Linked DNA regions of Caenorhabditis elegans. The protein of the gene in region 2 purifies or fractionates together with the protein of the main gene of each other region. This does not show direct contact. Each region holds a gene or a part of one and is shown on either strand. Other genes may lie near its edges.

Region 1 (4,557 bases), 7.9 Mb from region 2:
AGAAAAATTTTAATTCACATTGAAACGCATCCATCCTCAATCCTCATTGTATTGGGAGTATTTGTATTTGCCACGTGGCATATTCAGTCGTTTTTCTCCTCGGTGCATTCAGTTGGAGCTGGTCCAACTGGAGTCTCATCATAGTCCAAATCCGGGCGGCCTGGATGAGATTCCTCGATATCCTGAAATAATTTTATATAGATTTCACAGAGTTTGACGGTAGTTTTCATTATAATTTCAGATAAATTTAAACTATTACCTTTTCCGGAATTGGAACACTATCCTCATCGTACTTGCTGTAGTCAACCTCTACATCAGGAACTTCTTTGTCTTCTTGATCACTCATTGTTGTCCAAGTTGTTGGCTTCAGATGCTGCTTATGAAAACGAGAATGAGCTCTTTTTATGCTGTAAGAGGCTCGCTAGCTAACCATTGCCACGCCCCCTTTTGTGCTCAATTTCCATGGAGACCCGAGCTAAACAACAGGTTTCCAGGGACAACGGGAGCTCTAGATCATGCGACATGTCATGTGGTTGTGTCTATTTTCGAAAGGAAAAGTTTATGAGTCAGAAATATAAAACAAGAGAATACTGAAAATAAATAGTTTAAACATTTAAAACACAAAAAATGAGGAGTGAAAGAATTTGAAAATGGGCAATCGGAAGAACAACACAACCTAATGGGGCATAGCGAAATTCTCAAATGAAATAGGAAGGAAAACAAGAAAATTTGTAAGCAATTTTGAGAAGAACAATAAACCCGGTTTCTAATAGAAGGTGAATAAAAATTTTCAAAAAGTTATAATTTTTGTTGTCGGATGACAATTGACACATAAAAGCCAAAATGGAATTGGTTGAACAGCTCAAAACCGGAAAGAAAACAAATCTCACTGATATATTGGAAATTTCTAAATTTAAAGCCAGTGTCAATAGTGCCCAGCCCAAAGATCTCCGTACTTGAAATCAGCGAAAGGACGATCTCCATAACCTTCTGGAATCACTCGGCGCATGTTGATTTTTTGGAAGAATTCCAGGCGGTGGAAGTCTGGTTCCTGAAAATTTTATTTTTAATGTTTAAAAAAATGCTAAATATTATGTATTCACCCAATCAATGTGATTCTCTTTGGAATAGGATGTGAGATTATATTTAATATATCCAATTCACCAAATTCTTAATTAATTAAATCATTTTCCCCTGCCTCAGAAGACAGGGCTGCAAAAATTGTACACTGGGTCTTTAGTAAGGCCCTGAAGTATTATAAGAAATCGACTATTCCCTGTGGCGTAAAGAGGGTACCCTCCCGTTTGAACCGACATCTGCCGGGTTCCGCCACCCTCCATTCTATGTGAGAGGTGGGCGGGGCGTCCGTTCAGATTGTGGAGACGGAGACACAACGAAAAAGGCATGCCGAAGGAAAACATGAAACGAACAAGAAATTTAATATTATGCAAATCGTGTTTAAATAGTCCCAGAAAGGATTAATATTCAACATCTACTTTTTAAAAATATTAGTTTTAAATCTCAGTTCACCTAAACAAAAACATTATCAACATAAATTTTTCCCCTGCCTCGAGAGACAGGGCTTCAAAAATTGTACTTCGGGTCTTTAACAAGGCCCTGAGTTAGTTATGGTTTAACGAGTTGAGACTCGTCAATAGGGTGAGTATATAGTTGCGTGTACGGACGAATCACGGGTTTCGCAGTCAACTATGTTTTATGTTTACGATGGGCGGAGCAAAATGAGTGCCGATAGTGAAGACAAATGTGAGAAGAAAAGATTATGAGTGATGGGCTCTATATTGGGAGCCAAAAGTTGCAAATTTTTATATTACAAACAGGTTGAAATCATTTTTTTTCAATAATTTATTGTATTAAAGCTCACCGAATAAGTTCCATCGGTCACAGGGCTCAATGCGGCGTAAACGCGTTCCGAATCCATTCCATGGATGTGATAAGCGTTAAATTTTGTAACTTCTGGAAATAAGATTTGCATAATTTTACAATTAAACTTAAAAATTACTGGATGGGAAGTATGCAAGAGGAATCTCGACTTCTCCTACCCAACGATTTCCAACCCATTTGTTGCGTACTTCGAGTTCGAGTTCTTCGCCTGAAATGATTAAAGATTGAAGGGAAACATGTAACTTTCGAAAAACTGATATTTTCAAAATACTTAAAAAGTTAAAATACTCACCGTTGTTGATAGTATGACGAACTCCGTCAAAAAGAAGGCAGAGCCAATGTCCATGTGGACCAATCTCAACTTCTAGATACTGTCCACGATCATTTGCGAAGAAGAATTCAATAACTTCGAAATCCCAAAGCTGAAAAGAATTTAATTTGGAGAAACTATTGAATTATATACTTTATCACAGTAAAAACTGACTAACCTGTGGTGTTATTCCTGGTGGATCGAGTGGTTCTGGATCGTCGAAGAATGGTGCCTGAATACGAAATTTTGTTGAAGTTTTTATAAATATATAAATATTCAAAATTATTACGTCGAATGAAATCTTGACAACTCGCTTATGTGGGCGCCCGACGAGTCGCTCAAAGTGCCACTTCAAGTCAATCTGCAAAAATTCAAATATACGCATTTACAAAAAGTTTGCAATAAACCGTAATTTTCTCGAATCTAAATGTATAAAAATTCGAAAACTCACTTTGATAGGCTCATGTGCAAGTGGAAGTCCATCCCAAGTATGATCAATGGTGTACTTGAGTCCTGCCATCGAGTTCATTGCCTCGGCTTTCTCGAGATCGTCATGGTCGGTTTGTACCATATTCCACATGACTGAAAGCTGCAAAAGAAGACGAATACACATGTCAACCGACATCATATGAGACGAGAGAATGTGGTGGAGACGAGGAAAGGCGTAGCTTATAAGGAGAAAGATACACAAAAAATACACGAAAGTTTAGAATGTTGAAAGCTTGAATAACGAACATTGTGGTATTTTGAAGAATAACTTTTTAAAGAGATACGCTCGTAATTAATATATTATCATTCAAAACACTACATATCCTCTTGTAAAATAAACTCCAACGAGTTAAAAGGAGAGAAAATCAATAAGGGATATATAAAAATGACTAAACTTTGAAATTTAAAAATAAATAATGAAATATGCGTCGAAAACTCTTTTAAATATCCAAAAATAGGCCTCTTGAAACAATTTTGGCACTCAATCTGTGTACTTTTACGTGGTGGTGTTTGCACACATTGCACACTAGCTGCCGACATATTTCTGCGTCTCTTCTGTGCACGCACTCTCTTGTCTTCCAACTGTACCGGTACTGTAGAATTTTGATAGAAATTAAACGAATTTCCTACTGGTTTTCGTAACTTCTTTTATCAAGTATATGTGTTATCCAAAATTTTAAAAACGAATGGCATCGATTGCTTAAACTTTATGTGGTCAGTCACGAGAAACTGTTGAAAAGTGAAAATGTGGGAATAAAGTGAAGCAAACAAATCAGCTGACCACCTCGTTTTCTCTCTCTCTCCGTATTCCACTCCGCTCCCAGTTTGCTTATCGCGCATTGTTTCCTTTCACGCTAACAAAAATACAATAGAATTCGAAGAAGCAGAGACAGTTTTGAAATCGTGGAATGAGGATGTTGGAAGTTGGCCAAGCGATCATTAGTTGCCGAAAAATGGATGCTTCTCGTCTCTCATCAAATTAAATTGTTTAAAAAATAACGAATCAATAGAAATTGTGATGCAAGTGTTTGCACCTCAAATGCACTCTGACTGTGCGAAAAAGAAACGAATGAAATAAAAATAAAGTCGTTGCGCTACGCATGACCGTTTGCAAAATTAAACAAACATCTGAACCAACACATGTGTTTTATTACACAGAAGATACATTTGAAACTGTCACCTGTTTCTTTCTGAAAAGCAACTCCAAAAATGTTTCAACAAATAATTAAATACTTTTCTGAAACTTAAAAAAAACATAGTAAATCTACAATGTATATCAAAATGATACGGTACCCATGTAGTCTTAATATAACAATTGTGAACTTAGACTAACCATAAAATAAAGAAATATATTTATTAAAAAGCAAAATGTTTCGAAACTTTTAGCAATTCTGTCTCGTGAGAGAGGTTCAGATAAGCAAAGGAAAACAAAAATGTCATATGCGTACAATAATGATGTAATATGTGGAAATAGTGATATCATTTGACGAAAATAAGTACAAAGATTAATTGAAATTTGAGGAAAAGCTCCAAATATATGTTTACCTTTTGACTGTTTTTCTTATTTTTAGTTACCGTATTTCCTCTATGTGTGTTGCAGCCGGAGTGCTAATTTGTGGCAGCTCAGAAAAAATTTCGACCGTCTTTTTTTGAATACTTTCTTCTATAATTTGAAATGTTTTTTATATCTTTAAAATTAACCGAAATATAAACTGTCAAAGAAGAGATCTAATCATGTAACTTTTTAAAAAAATTAATACATATATTTTTAGGTGTTGCAATTGGAACAGCCCACACTAAAAGTATCCAAAACTATTCAAAAGTTTATATTTCTAGTACACATACAGTTATGGAAG
Region 2 (2,910 bases):
ATTTTCTAAATTTTTAAATAGTTTTTATTCAATTTCGCAAAAAAATAAATTGCTGAATTATTTTTTAGATCAATTTTGAATTCCCGCGCAAACTAATTACCTAGGTTTGCCATTTTTGCTTTTCTTGATTCTTACTTAAGTATTTGATTTGAAGCTTTCAAATTTTAATAAGCTGACTTTAAATTTACACACTTCTTACACACCACAATTTATGAAGTTTCATATAAAAGCTTCCTCTTCCCAGGCAAAAAAGTTCAAACACACGCCCTTCAAAATGTTGATTTTCTTTTAGAAATTTTTTTAAACTTGAAAACATCTAATTTAGAAACAATATCAGTAACAACAAACACATGTTTGATTCAATTCTAATTACATAAAAAATTTGAAATCTTTTTAGAGCTCCGAAGGTTCGCCGACATCCATTCTAACTAACGATCTGGCCACTTGCTTCATCGGTGCTCCATCCCGCACATCTAAACAGATTGAAAATCTCCCAGAGTACGAGCTACTCCGAAAAGAACTTCTCGTTACAGTTCGAGATGCTGTTATTCAAACTGATTTATTTTAGATCGTCCCCTCAAACCAATAATTTTATTTTCAAAACTGTAATAAAAAGTTCAAAAATTCATATAATTAACCGTTGAAAAAGAACATTTACAGAATCTAGAGTTCAAATTGATCGTGAAGAATAGCGTACTTTCCGTCTTCTTTCTTCCAGATTTGCGTAAATTTTCCGCTTAGAGTTCCTTGCTGAAACTTTACATTAAATTTGAAAATCTATTAAATTTAACCTTTTCAGTAACAAAGCTAAAATCGGTGTGAATGTTTACAAAATCACCAACTCCTTCGTAGCGAGAATTGGAGATCTGAAAATTGTTAGGATAGATTTTAAAATGTTTAAAATGTTTATCACCTGAACTTCGTACTTTCCAAAATCGGCTCCCATTCCTTTGAAACTGTCCACTATCGCTGAAATTCACAAGTTTCATTAATGGGAAATCGATTGAACTATGATTATCTTTACCTTGATTACCAAACATACAACTTTTTCCTTTCTCAATCATAACCGAATTAACATGATAAAAGTTCTCGACTTGTTTCCAATTAGAAGTGTTCAACGCGTCGAGGTACTTTTTCATCAATGGAGCCAAAATGGACTCAGCTTCTGAAAATTAAAAAAAAAACTTTTGGAAGCTATACTATCTGTAGACCTACGCTCATTTGTCAATGACATTTTTCAAGTTGAAGCTCAATACTTGTTTTCCACGCAGAGAGAACTACAAAGATGTATTATTGGTTGAGTCGGTAAAAATGGGTTTGAAGCTTGTTGTTAAAAATACAATTTCAGAAAACGTGCTAAAAATGCTGAACGCCAAAAATTAAATGAAAAAATTTCAATAATGTTATTTTTCAACTGCAGAATCAACTATTTTAGATATAAATTCAAAGATAAATTGTTTAAACTTCGAACAACACAAAAACCAATCAGTGACACCGATTGAGAAGTCGAAATGAACTGAAATCACTGATAAACGTGAAAAGAGTGAGAGAGAGAAACAACTGGCACTTGCCTGCTTCCTCTATTATTTTCCTCAACGTTGATAGACATTTTAACACAAAAATGTTTCTCGGAGCACACGTGTTTTAATTTCTACGAGAAAGTGGGGAATTTGGGTTTAGAAGACAAATGTGTTGTACGCAAATGTCAAAAGTGATAACTTTGAAGAGTAACTAACTATAAGATTAAACAAACTCAGATAATAGATTTCTTGAAAATCAAAAAAAAAGGTATTTATCTGACTTCAAAATTTATCAAAAATATACTTCAATAAAATTTTTCAAAAATTTATGAAGTTCCGTTGCTGCTTGGCAGCGAAATATGTAAAATGAATAAAATGCAAATCTTGTTTTCTAACTTCCAATTTTTTTTTAAATGTACAAATCTGCAACTGGCTTACCTCAAACTCAAGGATTCTTGCAACATTCCCTCTGAAAAATGTCTTCAATGTTTTATTATTGTTTACAGAACTCCAATTCTTTCAAATAAGAACGCAATTTTAGTTCATGACTTTCTTAATGAGAAACGTATTCCGTCCTACGTTTTTCTTCAAGATTTCCATTAATTTCAGCTGGGTACTTGATAGGAAATGAGAAAATAGGAAAAAGAGCTTTTTCGGTTAAAAAAGCACAAGCAAGATTGACAAAGTCTAGGGTTTGATGGATGTGGTCTCTAAAGAAAAAAAATCTTGTTTTCTAACTTCCAATTATTTTTTTAAATGTACAATTCTGCAACTGGCTTACCCCAAACTCAAGGATTTTTGCAACGTTCCCTCTGAAAAATGTCTTCTTTTTCGGTAAAAAAGGCACAAGCAGGATTGTCGAAGTTTGAGATTTAATGAATGTGGTCTCTTCAGAAATTTAAAGCCAGTTTTTGGATTCTGCGATTGCTTTATTAAAAGCTTGCTTAGCTTTTAGTAGAAGCAAAGTACCAAAAACTTGCGTAAATAACCTTTTCTGAAATCACGTTAATCTAGAGTATACATTTTGTTGACTCACTATGTTTGAGATTTCTGAATATTCTAAAAATAGTCTAAACCTCCCAAAAAGTTCATGATGTTTTTTTTTTCTTTTTCGGTAAAAAGAAAAGATGCTCGTACAAAAAAAGAAAAAAAAACTCTTTCTGTACTAAGCCTCTTCGTGGCGAAAGGGATCAACAGATAACCACTTCAACAAACTCGATGATTTCGTCACATCGAGAGTGGCTTGGTTTGGAACCAAGTGCAAATTATCTGGCCAAGAAGTACACCGTCTCACGCAGGCCAGAGGTAGTGTCGAATACTCTCTGTCCGGGCGGCTCTAGATTGGCTTAGCAGGTCATTATAGAGTATCTAGAGACACAAATTTTGCTCT
Region 3 (4,000 bases), about 11 Mb from region 2:
AAAAATGGTTGTGTCTTTAATTAAGAAAAACTACGAAAATCAATTATAATTCATGGTGCAACGTGAAGAGAATGGAATTACAGTACTCTCTAAAGGCGCACACCTTTTCGCAATTAGCAAACATTTGCCGCGCCGAGACCGCGTAACGTATGTTTGGCACAAAACGCGAGTCTGGGTAATGATATATTTTCTATCAGATTCTTTTTTTCCTAAAAAAGCATGTTTGCGTTTTATTTCGTTAATTCATACTTTAAGAGCTAAACCCAAATCCTTTTCATTTTCATAGTACTTCGCTGTGTCGAAACTACGGTATCCAACTTTGAGTGCTTCGTCGACAGCTGCGAAAAGCTAAAAAAGGTAAAATAAAATAACGAAGTTCAAAAATAAAAAATATTCCAAACCTGATCACCTTTGGCTTCGTATGTCCCGAGAGCCAATTTCGGAATTTCTTGTCCGTTCTTCAGCTTGAACATTGCTGCTATTTACAAAATCTATTATACAACCTGAAAAACGCCTGTGGCAACAAAATGGACAGCGAAAATGAAAAAAAAATATATATTTGAGATATTTACTGGGAATTTCCCATGGGAACAACTCGTGGTAGTTTCCATGGAGAAAAAAGAAGTGATACGCACAGAAAGAGTGTATTTGCAGAAAAAAAAGAATTCCGTATAATATTTGCAGTGAAGAAAATACAAGTAAAGTGGCATTGAAATGTTTTTGATGAAAAGACAAGGAGATTTGAAGGATAAATTGTAGGGGCGGAACTATGTGGATCCATCTTCGAATTGCATTTCTTCTTCAGGAAGTGCCATAATCTCTTTCAGATGAGAATCAATTTCATTGGATTGAAGGAATGGAGTTGTTGTTCCGTTGCCAAACTCCAATCTCAAAAAGAAAAAAAAATTTAGATTTCGCGAGATTTTCGTGAGGGAAACATACCGTGAAGTTTTCAGATTAATACAACACCCATGCTTACGGAGCACATTAAGCCCGATGAGAAGATCCATCTCACGACGAGCCATTACCTCGAATGGGCATGAAAAGTGAGCATCTTCAACTTTCACATCGCCTGAAAACATTTATTAAAATGAATGTGAATCAATGTTGGAAACTTTTGACTCACATAAATGAATCTTTCCCTCGATTTTCTCTGTTCCACCAACTCCTCGGGCCATTGACTGGAACCGTCTATCGATTAATCCATTAAGACCACAACGTTCAGCACATGCCATTGACATGATCGATTTTTGAGCTCCAGAATCAATGAAAGCTTTGACTGGAACACCATTTATAGTCAAATTGATGTAGAGCATTGTGACGGCAATCATATCTTCTGGGTGGTGGGTCATTGACTGAAATTATAACAATTTGTATATATTTACAGGCTTCTATTGTAAACTTACGTGTAAATATTGTTCATCAATCAGTTCTTTATTTCTTTTCGCTTCCAAAAACATTTTTGCTTCTGCTGAATTTGGATTGTTTTTGATAATTTCTTCCTTGTGAACTTCTTCTTCGACGTAGGAACGGAACATTTGCTCGAATTCCTCTGAAAATTAGATAGGCGTCAGATAAAGATTTAAAAAATGCGCTACTCACTGTAAGTCATATCTTTTTTCGCCAAAAAGCGTTCAACAAGTTCCGGCAAACCGTAGCCCAATTTGTGTGGCTCGTTTTTCAAACGGAAGAACATATTTTCTGAGAGCGCTTTGAACGTCGCAGGAGAATCCAAAAGTTTCCGAGAGAACATCGATTTTTCACCTTCATCATCTTGTTCAACTCTCCGTGTTCTCTGAGCAGACTGTGCTGAGGAAGACGATTGTCCATTAAAAATACTCGACGCAGCTGAAGCGAATTGCGAGATGAGCCGGACTTGTGCTGGAACGATCGATCGGAGATCTCCAGACGGACATGGGAACGCAGTGGTATATATGTAAACCATTGAAATTTGAGTGACGCCAAGTTGCTGAACTTATAGTATGATTAAGATTTTCTTTAACAATTCGATTTACCTCTAATGTCACTGTTGGACCAAAATTCTTCGATTCATCCGAAATATCGTAGACAATTGCAGTATCTTTCCAAATCAGTATTGCGTCGTTATTCAGATCACCAATCTGCAAAAAAATTGAATAAAAGATTACATTTAAGTATTAAAACTAACAGTTGTGTTTGGTGTAACACTTTTCTTTTGGAATGGTCCATCGTTAACGGCTACGCTCACTTGGAAAGACATCTGAAAATTAGAAGAATAAATGAGAAATGAGATTGAAAAAGGAAGAATGAGAAAAAATCGAAGAACATTTGCGTATTTGTAAATGAAAACGCTGCATCTCTAGAGCATAAACGCATCTAATCGATGAAAAAATTAATTACACAAAACCGTTCTCTCGGGAAACTTTTTGTCCTTTCAAATAAAGATTCGAAAGTTAAAAGAATGGAACCTGAGAATTTGTGAAGTAGAACATTTTAACTTTAACTTTATAAGCTTTCTCGACAACAGCTGTTCAAAAAAGTGTAAAAACTTGTCTAAAACTCGAGAAATTCTCGTGATGAAGGACGAAAACGGTGCAAAACGATGACAAGGAACAGATATGAAAGTGCGCCCCGCTGAGAATTTTTGAATTAAAATTGTGAAATGACTGTAATTTTTGCTGGAAACTGCCAGTAAATGAGGAAATATGTGTTTTACGAAATAAATTATTATTGCTGTCGTTAAAAATTCACGATTTTGAAAAAAAAACTTAACATGTTTTTGCTTCAAAAATATTTTTCCGAGAAGCTACAGTATTCCGACGCAAAATGTTTGGTATAATATTTTTATTCTCTCAAAAATACATCAAAATACAGAAAACAAAACAAATCAAAAACATTTATTAACCCGTAATGTTCTAAAATTTCGCAATAATTTTTGCAACCCTTTCAATAATACGACTAGATAAACCAGGAGATAGTTGAAAATGGAAAAAGTTGCCAAAAGATTCGGCTTCTCTTAAAAAGAAACTCCATCCTTTAATCAATCGATAGTGTCGGACAACTGCAATTTCTGGCTCCACAAGTCGGACTCCATAGATCGGATTTCGGAACTTTTGAACTCCGTGCACACCCATCGAGTCAACATTTCGGGACCGAATAATCGATTTTGTAGTATGATTCTGCGGTGCCACGTGGCTGGTGTTATGCCAAGTAATCATTGGAAGATTCTCAATTTGAGGAGCACCAGAAGAAATTTCAGAATATCGAAGAGTCCATTGACAACGAAAACGTAGTTCAGAGATTTTATGATCATTGCAATTTCTGTCAATATAGAGAGTTGGATAAAAAAGTAAGCAAAATGAAAACCTGATATAATCTAAAAGAGTAGATTTCTCATCAATCATCATGATCCTTTCGTCCAAATCAACCGTTGCCACCCAGCTTGAGTACTTTTGAGTTCGGAATACACAGTCCTGAATTAATTTTATTTTTAAATTAAAATAATTGAAACAAACCTGTAACTGCATCTCATGTCTGCATCTATGACGATTTAGACATTTAGTTTCATTTCCCATTTGTATTACTTCAAGGTTTGAGGAATTTCTATAGAAATCCAAAACATTTTCAGTTTCCTTTGAGATGTTGAATGAGTAAATTAGAAAATGGTCAGCGCCCTGAAATGCACTTTATTTCTAAAAATAACTACTCTACCGTAACCCCAAGACACTAACCTGCAACTTATAATATTCAATAAATTCCATCAACATCAACACTTTCGGAGATTCTCCATAAAGTGGAGCAAGACATACAGTAAACTCTGATTTGTTCTTTGTTTCTTTTTCTTTGTAAATCTGCTTCATATTCCCTGGAACATCCTTTTTGTTTATAGTTACAGCAACGAACTCGGCTTTTACTGAGGAACTCTCCGAGCACTTTATTGTTAATTCGGGGAAAACTGCCACGGCTTTCTGATAGATTTCCTGCCTATTTTCATCGAATAAACGACAGTAGACACGTCGGC
Region 4 (7,717 bases), about 11 Mb from region 2:
GTCCAAAGTATTGTGCTATCGATGGAGGAATCTTCTTTGAGGACGGAACCCGACGATAAACTGTTGATAATTGCATTATTTTATGTATCTGTTTATAAAGTTTTTTGTAGTTTAAAATGCAATTGGAATGAAGCGGAATGTTGTACAGTTACATTTTTTCAGCAATGAGCTGATACAAATGAACCAGCTCACTAAGTTAAAAAAAAGTAATTCCCTTTGTGGTTTTCTAAAATTAGAAAATAAATAAAACTTTATCGACAGACCTGGAAAATTGAAAAAAAAAAAACTGCACATAAAAAGTTAATTTTACTTCAATTTTATATTTCCATCTGAAAAATCAAAAAAAAAATGAAAGACATCTGCCACCAATGGGCAGATCATCGGAGAGGCTCCTAGTAGCGGGGAAAATTTAGAGAAAAGTCACCTCGAACTGAAAAAGAAAAAGAGCGATATGAAGTTTTTCGGGAAACGGGTTCAATGGAAATATATTTGTTTCTAACTTGAAAAAGTAAAAATTACAGAAAAAAACAAAATTGCATCGTTGATGAGAGATTGGGGAAACCGAATAGTTGGGAGGGATGATTTCAGAAAACTTTTGTAAAAGAACAACTAGCTTCTAGAAAGACGGAACCGGTAGAGCAATGAGAGAAATTTTCTATAGAAAATGATTTTTAGAAATCATTTTAAAAAAATAAAATAAAGAAGTAGATTACAGTTGCGATACGCAAATTTTGTCATTATTTCGATGATTGAGTTCCATTTCATCAGGTTTTGGTAATTCACAAATCTGAAATTAATAATATAATTTTCAACAAATAACTGGTGTTAGTTTATACCTGATCCATATTCTGATTGAATGTTACACGAGTCTCTCGATCCAACTCTTCCATTTCTTCATTTTCTTTTGAAACACAGCATCTAAAAAAAATAAATTTCAGGAGATTTGTTGTTTTAACTCAAAATTGTGATCCAAAAATCAAAAATATCACCAAGGAAAAATGACAAAAATAAGAAGTAAATCCAACATCAAGAATTTAAGGTTTTTCCACTTTTGTCAATTTTGCTATTTGAATTCCCTCTAAAGTTGCACCAACGAGACCATTTCGTGGTACACTCACTTTTCGAATGGGGTTCTAATTTAAAATACTCAAAATATTGCTGACAAAGAAGAAACTCAAAAAAATTCAAGAAATAATTGAAACTACAATTTTTGAAAACATGGTATTTCAACGCTGCCTAATATCCTTGTTCTATGTTTGGTGGGAATTCAAGCAGACATCTTAGCCAGGGTTGCAGAGGCATATTTTTGAATTTTGGATTTTAAAACGCAACAATATTTTCTACAGTTTTCATTTTCATTCATGATTATTTTCCATTTTAAATGCATTAACGAAAAGAAAGCATCAGTGAATTTTTTTGATGATAATTTATTTTATTGATGAATAGTATAAAATTTTTTCTTATTTTTTTACCCTGAAATCCAGAGACTAATAAATCTTCAAAGGATTGAAAATCAAAAACTCACAATCGCCTTTTACGCTTTGTTTTTCCTTTCAATGAAGCTGTTTCACTGGGCGGAGGAGTATTTCTTCCACCTTCAAACATCACTTCTGATTCAACAAATTCACGTTCCGTCGCTTTTTCTAGACACTGAAGAAGATGATGATGTTGGATTTCGAAGATATCTTCGTCTCGGAGAGCATCGAAAGAGAGATGACCTGCAAAAATGCACTTTTTAGAGTTATCTCAATTATAATCTAGAATTTTGTACACATAATTTTTTTTTAATGTTTCACATTGCTAATAAATTAAGTAACCGAAAACCTAAAACATTAAATATAAAAAAACGGAATAAAAAAAAACCACAGAATCTGTTTTTTATACCGGATTCAAAATTTGTGCCCTCTTGAGCAAGCGGAATCACGAACTGTTTTTATTAATTTTTAATTTTAATGTTTTATATTTGCTTTTTTTGAGCCAACAGAAATGCCAAGAGACCGAAAAACAAAATGGAATACTTTTCTATATTTCCAAAGTTAAATATTTTTGTGACAACTCAATAATAACTAACTTAAGCCGGCAATACGAAATGTTCTAATGAAAAAAAAAACCAACTTACCCTGTTCAAATGCTAGCATCCGAGCTTCATGAGCTCTCTTCTTATTGAATAATGCTAGTCCAGACGCGTTTTTAACGATCCGAATTCTAGCAAGACGGGCTTTCTGAAAATTGATTAAATTTAATCCAACAAATTTGCAAAAAAATCACTAAGTGTTTAAAAAGGTTTTACAACTGAACGAAAAACCATACCTTCTGTGCTTTTCTCTTGTCAGCTCTCTGATTTTGATGATAAATTCGAGAGAAATTGCTGACAATAACTGGAACTGGAAGAGCAATAACCAACACTCCAGACAGTGAGCATACTCCTCCAACTATTTTACCCATTATTGTTGATGGAACCATGTCTCCGTATCCAAGAGTTGTTAGCTGAAAGAAAAATTAATTTTTTATTATGAAAAACAATGACTGTGTTGTATGAATAGGTTTCACCTTTAGTCTTCAGTGATTTGTATAATTAAAAAAAAAATATTTTAATTTTTAATTTTTCCAATGCAAATATTAACTTTAAAATTTACATTTTCCTAGTGCATTTGGGATAAGGTATTTGCAAAACGTTGAAGGTTTTATGGAGAGTATTTAACGTAAAAATCAAAATTTCAACCCCGTTTCTTAATTTTACAAAGAAAAACTCACAGTCACAATTGTATACCAGAAAGCTGACGGAATCGAGGTAAATCTCGTCGCGTCGACCTTTTTCTCCGCATAATACATAATAGTGGCAAATATGATAATTGCCATTGCCAGTGAAAATACAAGGAATCCAAGTTCACTTGCACACGATTTAAGAGTGTAACCCAGAATTCGAAGACCTTGGGAATGTCGTGAGAATTTGAATATTCGGAAGACACGCTGTAAATTTTAGAAGGATTTGATCAAAGAATTAATGATTTTTATCAGAATGTTCGAAAAAATATTTGGATATTCAATTTAAGGATTAACAAAAGAAAAAACTTACGAAAACTCTTAAAGTGACAAACAAGCCGGATACATCCTTATTGTCAGTTAGTACCAAACTAACGTAGTAAGGCATTATGGCAATCACATCGATTACACTCATTATTGACCTGAAAAAAGAAAACCATTTAAATGGTTAAAAAAATAAGGACGAATAAATAACATGTTATCCAATTTTGACAAATGTGTCCTTAATTATTTTACAGTTTCATGATTGTTATGAGAAACATCTCTATATTTTTGAACTGATAATTTTGAACAAAACTTTTGAAATCATAAAAATGCATTAAAGACGGGCTAGAGGGTCATACTGAAATGGTTGAATTTTGTAATGAGACTTCTCAAAAAATTTTCCAATTTTTTTTTGGCGGCACAAGATTTTGAAAAGAATTACGATTATTTTAGCTCAAATCTTGAATTTCGCGAACTTTCCCATAGCATTGGGTAATTCGTTTTTATTTGATTATTATTCCTAATTGCGTTTTGCTAATTTATTTTTGTATTAAATAATTGGTTGATTAAATTGTCTCTAAAGCCGATAGGTAATCAAAAAGCGTCAAAATTGGATAATTAGAAAATTCAAAATTTTATTGCTGTTTCAAATGAGTTTGATAAAATCAGTGAATATTTAACTTATTAGTGTGAGAAGTTTACATATTGATATTAAAAGAAACGTACCTCATAAATTTGATTCGGTCCGGCGCAGAAATCAACCGTAAAAAGTACTCAATCGTAAAAATGATAACACACGCTGTATCGATAACAAAGAATTGCTCTTCATAGGCTTCTCCACACGTCACAGACACATTATCCTCATACCCACAAGGTATTGTTTCCACTATATTACACATCACTGATACAGCAATAAAAAATCCAATGACATAATAAAATACAAGTGCTATTGATGTTGTGTGCGGATTCTCGAATGCCGCCCACATTTTCTCTTTAAGAGACAATTTTAATGTTGATATATCCGCATTTTCTACACGTTCTTCTTGTAATCTTTCTTGATTTTCTCGTTTTTTATCTTTATAGTCTTCATAGCAACAATCTGATATCAAATCAGGCATTATTCCAAAGAAACTGAGCTCTTCGTCGTATGCAACAAGACATTCATGACGGGGATACTGAAAATATGGATTTCTGGGAAAAATGGAAAGTGGCGCATTTTAATAGATTTCAACAAGTCACCACATACTCAAACGAAAATCTTAAATTTTTCAAAGATTTTTTTTATTAAAAAATAATATTGAAAATTATAATACAAAATAAAATTTATTTTGAAATTAAAATTTATTTTCGAAAAATATTACTCCGTTTCCTTTGAGAAATATCTAGCAGTCTTACAAGTTCATACTCATACAGTGTTTGAGTAAAACTTATTAACGCATTATTAAAATAAATAAAAAATGAGGAATCGTCACTTTTGAATAAAATTTTAAAAAAAATTGAATTTATAAAGGATTTACTACATTATTAGGCCATTTAAGCACCATTAGGCATAATTAATTTAAAATATTCTCCGGCGATGCTCCAAATTCTCAAAAAGCATTGCTCAAAAGATTTAATATTTTTCTGAATAAAAATTGCATCTATTTTACAATCAATTGAATTCTGTATATTTCCAAAAAAAAATTGCAAAACAAATGCGTAAGTTTGTAGGCAGATATTTTTAATTTTAACGCCTGCCTGCTGCCCGCCTGCGGTTTGTCTGTAGGCTCGAGACAGGTCTATGCTGCTTTGTTGGTAGACGGGGACATTAGCGCCTATGTGAATGGGTTAAAATTTGATTTTTTATAGAAAAAATGTCAAAGCATGATTCTACATTTTAAGAACATTTTCAGCGGAAGTTTAGAAAGTTGAAGAGAGTTTATTTTTAAAAAAACTGTTTCAAAAAACATTAATTTTTAATGCTTGCAATTTTTTGTCTCAAACTGGCTCAAACAACAAAAACAAACAACTCACATGCAATTTTCCCGTTCTATAAAATGTGAGAATGTGTCGGAATATGTCCGGATCCCTATCGAAAAAGTATTCCCCAGTGTCTTCATCATAAAAGAACTCTTTTTCATTTGACCCCAATAGAGTCTCTGGGAACTTTTCCAACGTGTTCTTCCACGTTTCGAACCTTCGTCCTGATATGTTGATTGCTAGTTTTTCGTCAGAGACATGATCAACCGCGAGGTCTTTGGCCTGAAATATCACATTGAGAGCTTGTGAACATATAGAGATCTACAGGCAACACAAAAAATTAGTTCATGAAAAAGAGGAATCTGCCAAATAAATGAAACAGTAAAAATTTTGCATATCCAAAGTTCAAAATGTATATTTAGTTTCCCTCTCACTACGGATCCTGGAACTAAAAAGAGGATCTAATCTCTCATTGCATATGACACTCGTATCAAATTTCCAAATTTTCAAAAGACATCGACCACCTAACACGTGTGTGAACAAGAATTTATGAAAGAATTCCGTATTTTTTGATGTTTGAACCTTTTCCGCGAACAAGAATTCCTAATTGTGAGAACGTGGAAATTTCCACTGTTTTATAGTGTCTATAAATGACCGAATAGAAACACAGAATGCTGCCTAAGTGTCTCTCATTAAAAATGAAGATGTGTGGCGTCACACAAAAATTTTTAGAAATATCACAGTGTAAAAAAACATCGGGAAATAAATATTTGGCGCAATTTTTTCAGATCAAATTTGGACTACTTTATATTTAAATTTAGAAAATTATTCCCACCAAACCTAACCTGTATTGCAACTGGGGCCTGTGGCATGGGCTGTCTCGAAATGGGAACCCATCCGATAGCGGCGGCTCTCGCGAACGGCAGCCACGCCGCCACCGAAGCCATTCTGAAGAAGACAACGACGACGGATTCTGAACACTTTTCCTGATGACGTCGTTTTCAGGAAAATTTTTTCTATTTTGCTGGGTACGCTGTAAAGCAGGAGTTATGAAAATAATTTTGAAAGTTGAAGCGAATTAATGAAAAGAAAAGAAATCATTTATGGGAATTGGAAATATATTGAAGAATTTGAAAGTTTGATTTTTTTGAAAACTTATATTTCAAGTGGTCTACAACAGCAGTTGCTTGAAAATTAAATAATCGAGCTTTCGTTTGAAGTTTGAAATAAATTAATCGAAATAAAAAAGGGTAAGTCTGTATGTGTTTTGGGATAATAACATATCATAAAAATACAGGCGCATAGGTAGGTCGGTCGACGTGAGATATGCGGGTACATTGGAAAACCGGGGTTTCAGAAATGTTACATTCTGGAAAGAAATTGGAGACACAAAGGGCTGATGACTAAGTTTTCGAGTTCAAGATAATTCAGAAATATTTTTAGAAATTACGAATTTTAAAGTATGGAGCCATATGTAGTATATGTTGAAATTTGTAGAATCATTTCAAATGACTGTGAAACGGAAATTTTAGTTTGCTATGCCAAAAAATATATAACTTACGGTTTCACTTAAAAATCACAGGAAAATTTTCAATTTCAAAATCAAGATTTTCAAATCAATAATTTGTTTTAAGCAAACATTTGCAATACATCAACTACGGTAACTCTGACCTAACAACAAAAAAAACTATGTTTTTTTCTCAGAATACATAACCTATATAGCTGAATAGTGGTCTCAAGCCAAAAGTGAAGTCTAGAAGGCTTGCACGTCACAAAAAACTGCAAAAGTGCACTTGTTTCAAAAAAAAACGTTTTTAGAAACAGCAGCCAACTTTAAACTTTTTGTCGTTTTGCAAAAACATAAGGTTCTTTCCCACTCCAATTTTGATGGTTTCCTTGGCGCAGAGCTCCAAACGGGTGACGACGTGTGGGCTCAAATTACCCGTAAACGACGCGAGACGACGTCGAGATCGGTTCGAGAAGCAAGAAGCCGTGGGACAAAAGAAAATGTGAAGGAAAGAAAAGGAGAGAAAAGAACTGGAGGGAAGGAAGAAGTGTTACATTTCCAGTTTCACACTTTTCCTCTTCTTTTTCAATTTTATCCAATTTTGTGTGTAAAGAGCCCTCTTCTCTAAAGGCTCGCGGGCTCCTTGATGCCAGGAAAAGAAAGAGAAAACGATAGACAAAATTGGAAAAGTCGACCTCTTCTGAAGACATCTTCAGACTAGAAAAAAAAGAAAAAGAAAGAGAGAGAGAGAGAAAATGAAACTCGATATTCAATTTTTGCCTGAGAGGAGATGACTTGCTTTCCTCGATTTTTTGTGCTTATTTCGGTTGAATTGGATAAAGAGAGAAGAAAAGAATAAGCAAAATAAGCTGAAAAAAGAAAAGGCACGTTACGGAAAAGTTGAAGAATTGTTTAGAAAAAGTACAAGTTGAAGTTCATCTGAAATCACGTTTTGGAGGGTTTTTAATTGTTTTTGAAAATTTTTGAACTTTTTGAAAAGTTTTTTGAAGGTTGATTATGTGTACTTCAATTAGTCAAATTAAACTTCATGTTAGGAAAGAACACCATTGCCTACCTGCCTAACGCCTAATTTCTACATATTTGGGTGAAGCATGGTGTTTGATAGTCCCGTGGATAATTTTGCGTGCCTAACCCAATTTTTCTTGTTTACTTGATTTGTTGAAATTTTAATTTAGACTTTAAAAATGCTTGCTTTGGCAGTAG

What was found.
Region 1: the proteins of T02D1.8 (region 2) and C33A12.3 fractionate together in Caenorhabditis elegans (co-fractionation; one large-scale study listed by BioGRID). This does not show direct contact.
Region 3: the proteins of T02D1.8 (region 2) and ddi-1 fractionate together in Caenorhabditis elegans (co-fractionation; one large-scale study listed by BioGRID). This does not show direct contact.
Region 4: the proteins of T02D1.8 (region 2) and shl-1 fractionate together in Caenorhabditis elegans (co-fractionation; one large-scale study listed by BioGRID). This does not show direct contact.

Annotation. Positions count from the first base shown.
Region 1 is NC_003282.8:9,510,202-9,514,758, forward strand, and holds C33A12.3 (UPF0462 protein C4orf33 homolog), read right to left. Parts: upstream 2,802-4,557; 5' UTR 2,793-2,801; coding exon 2,664-2,792; intron 2,574-2,663; coding exon 2,502-2,573; intron 2,445-2,501; coding exon 2,391-2,444; intron 2,325-2,390; coding exon 2,195-2,324; intron 2,111-2,194; coding exon 2,021-2,110; intron 1,975-2,020; coding exon 1,883-1,974; intron 1,639-1,882; exon of another isoform or gene 1,562-1,638; intron 1,266-1,561; exon of another isoform or gene 1,194-1,265; intron 1,052-1,193; coding exon 926-1,051; 3' UTR 547-925; downstream 1-546. Other genes in the region: C33A12.4 (TFIP11), read right to left, coding at 84-182, 260-346.
Region 2 is NC_003282.8:17,386,216-17,389,125, forward strand, and holds T02D1.8 (DUF4440 domain-containing protein), read right to left. Parts: upstream 1,278-2,910; 5' UTR 1,235-1,277; coding exon 1,216-1,234; intron 1,166-1,215; coding exon 1,025-1,165; intron 970-1,024; coding exon 914-969; intron 867-913; coding exon 792-866; intron 751-791; coding exon 664-750; 3' UTR 569-663; downstream 1-568. Other genes in the region: C30H6.12 (BESS domain-containing protein), read left to right, coding at 398-568.
Region 3 is NC_003282.8:6,521,113-6,525,112, reverse strand, and holds ddi-1 (Protein DDI1 homolog 1), read right to left. Parts: upstream 2,247-4,000; 5' UTR 2,240-2,246; coding exon 2,168-2,239; intron 2,121-2,167; coding exon 2,016-2,120; intron 1,970-2,015; coding exon 1,603-1,969; intron 1,553-1,602; coding exon 1,407-1,552; intron 1,356-1,406; coding exon 1,127-1,355; intron 1,073-1,126; coding exon 943-1,072; intron 889-942; coding exon 768-888; 3' UTR 542-767; downstream 1-541. Other genes in the region: C01G5.5 (NADP-dependent oxidoreductase domain-containing protein), read right to left, coding at 250-348, 402-473; gtnt-2 (Glycosyltransferase family 92 protein), read right to left, coding at 2,895-3,300, 3,346-3,452, 3,495-3,653, 3,711-3,999. UniProt on the Caenorhabditis elegans protein: Aspartic protease. Required for the cleavage and activation of transcription factors such as isoform a of the transcription factor skn-1, which in turn regulates the expression of proteasomal subunits such as rpt-3.
Region 4 is NC_003282.8:6,378,050-6,385,766, forward strand, and holds shl-1 (BTB domain-containing protein), read right to left. Parts: upstream 6,022-7,717; 5' UTR 5,934-6,021; coding exon 5,832-5,933; intron 5,269-5,831; coding exon 5,041-5,268; intron 4,203-5,040; coding exon 3,754-4,202; intron 3,737-3,753; exon of another isoform or gene 3,716-3,736; intron 3,346-3,715; exon of another isoform or gene 3,325-3,345; intron 3,186-3,324; coding exon 3,077-3,185; intron 2,971-3,076; coding exon 2,755-2,970; intron 2,488-2,754; coding exon 2,311-2,487; intron 2,223-2,310; coding exon 2,120-2,222; intron 1,855-2,119; exon of another isoform or gene 1,834-1,854; intron 1,719-1,833; coding exon 1,526-1,718; intron 919-1,525; coding exon 837-918; intron 788-836; coding exon 710-787; 3' UTR 236-709; downstream 1-235. Other genes in the region: bli-6 (Nematode cuticle collagen N-terminal domain-containing protein), read left to right, coding at 1-59.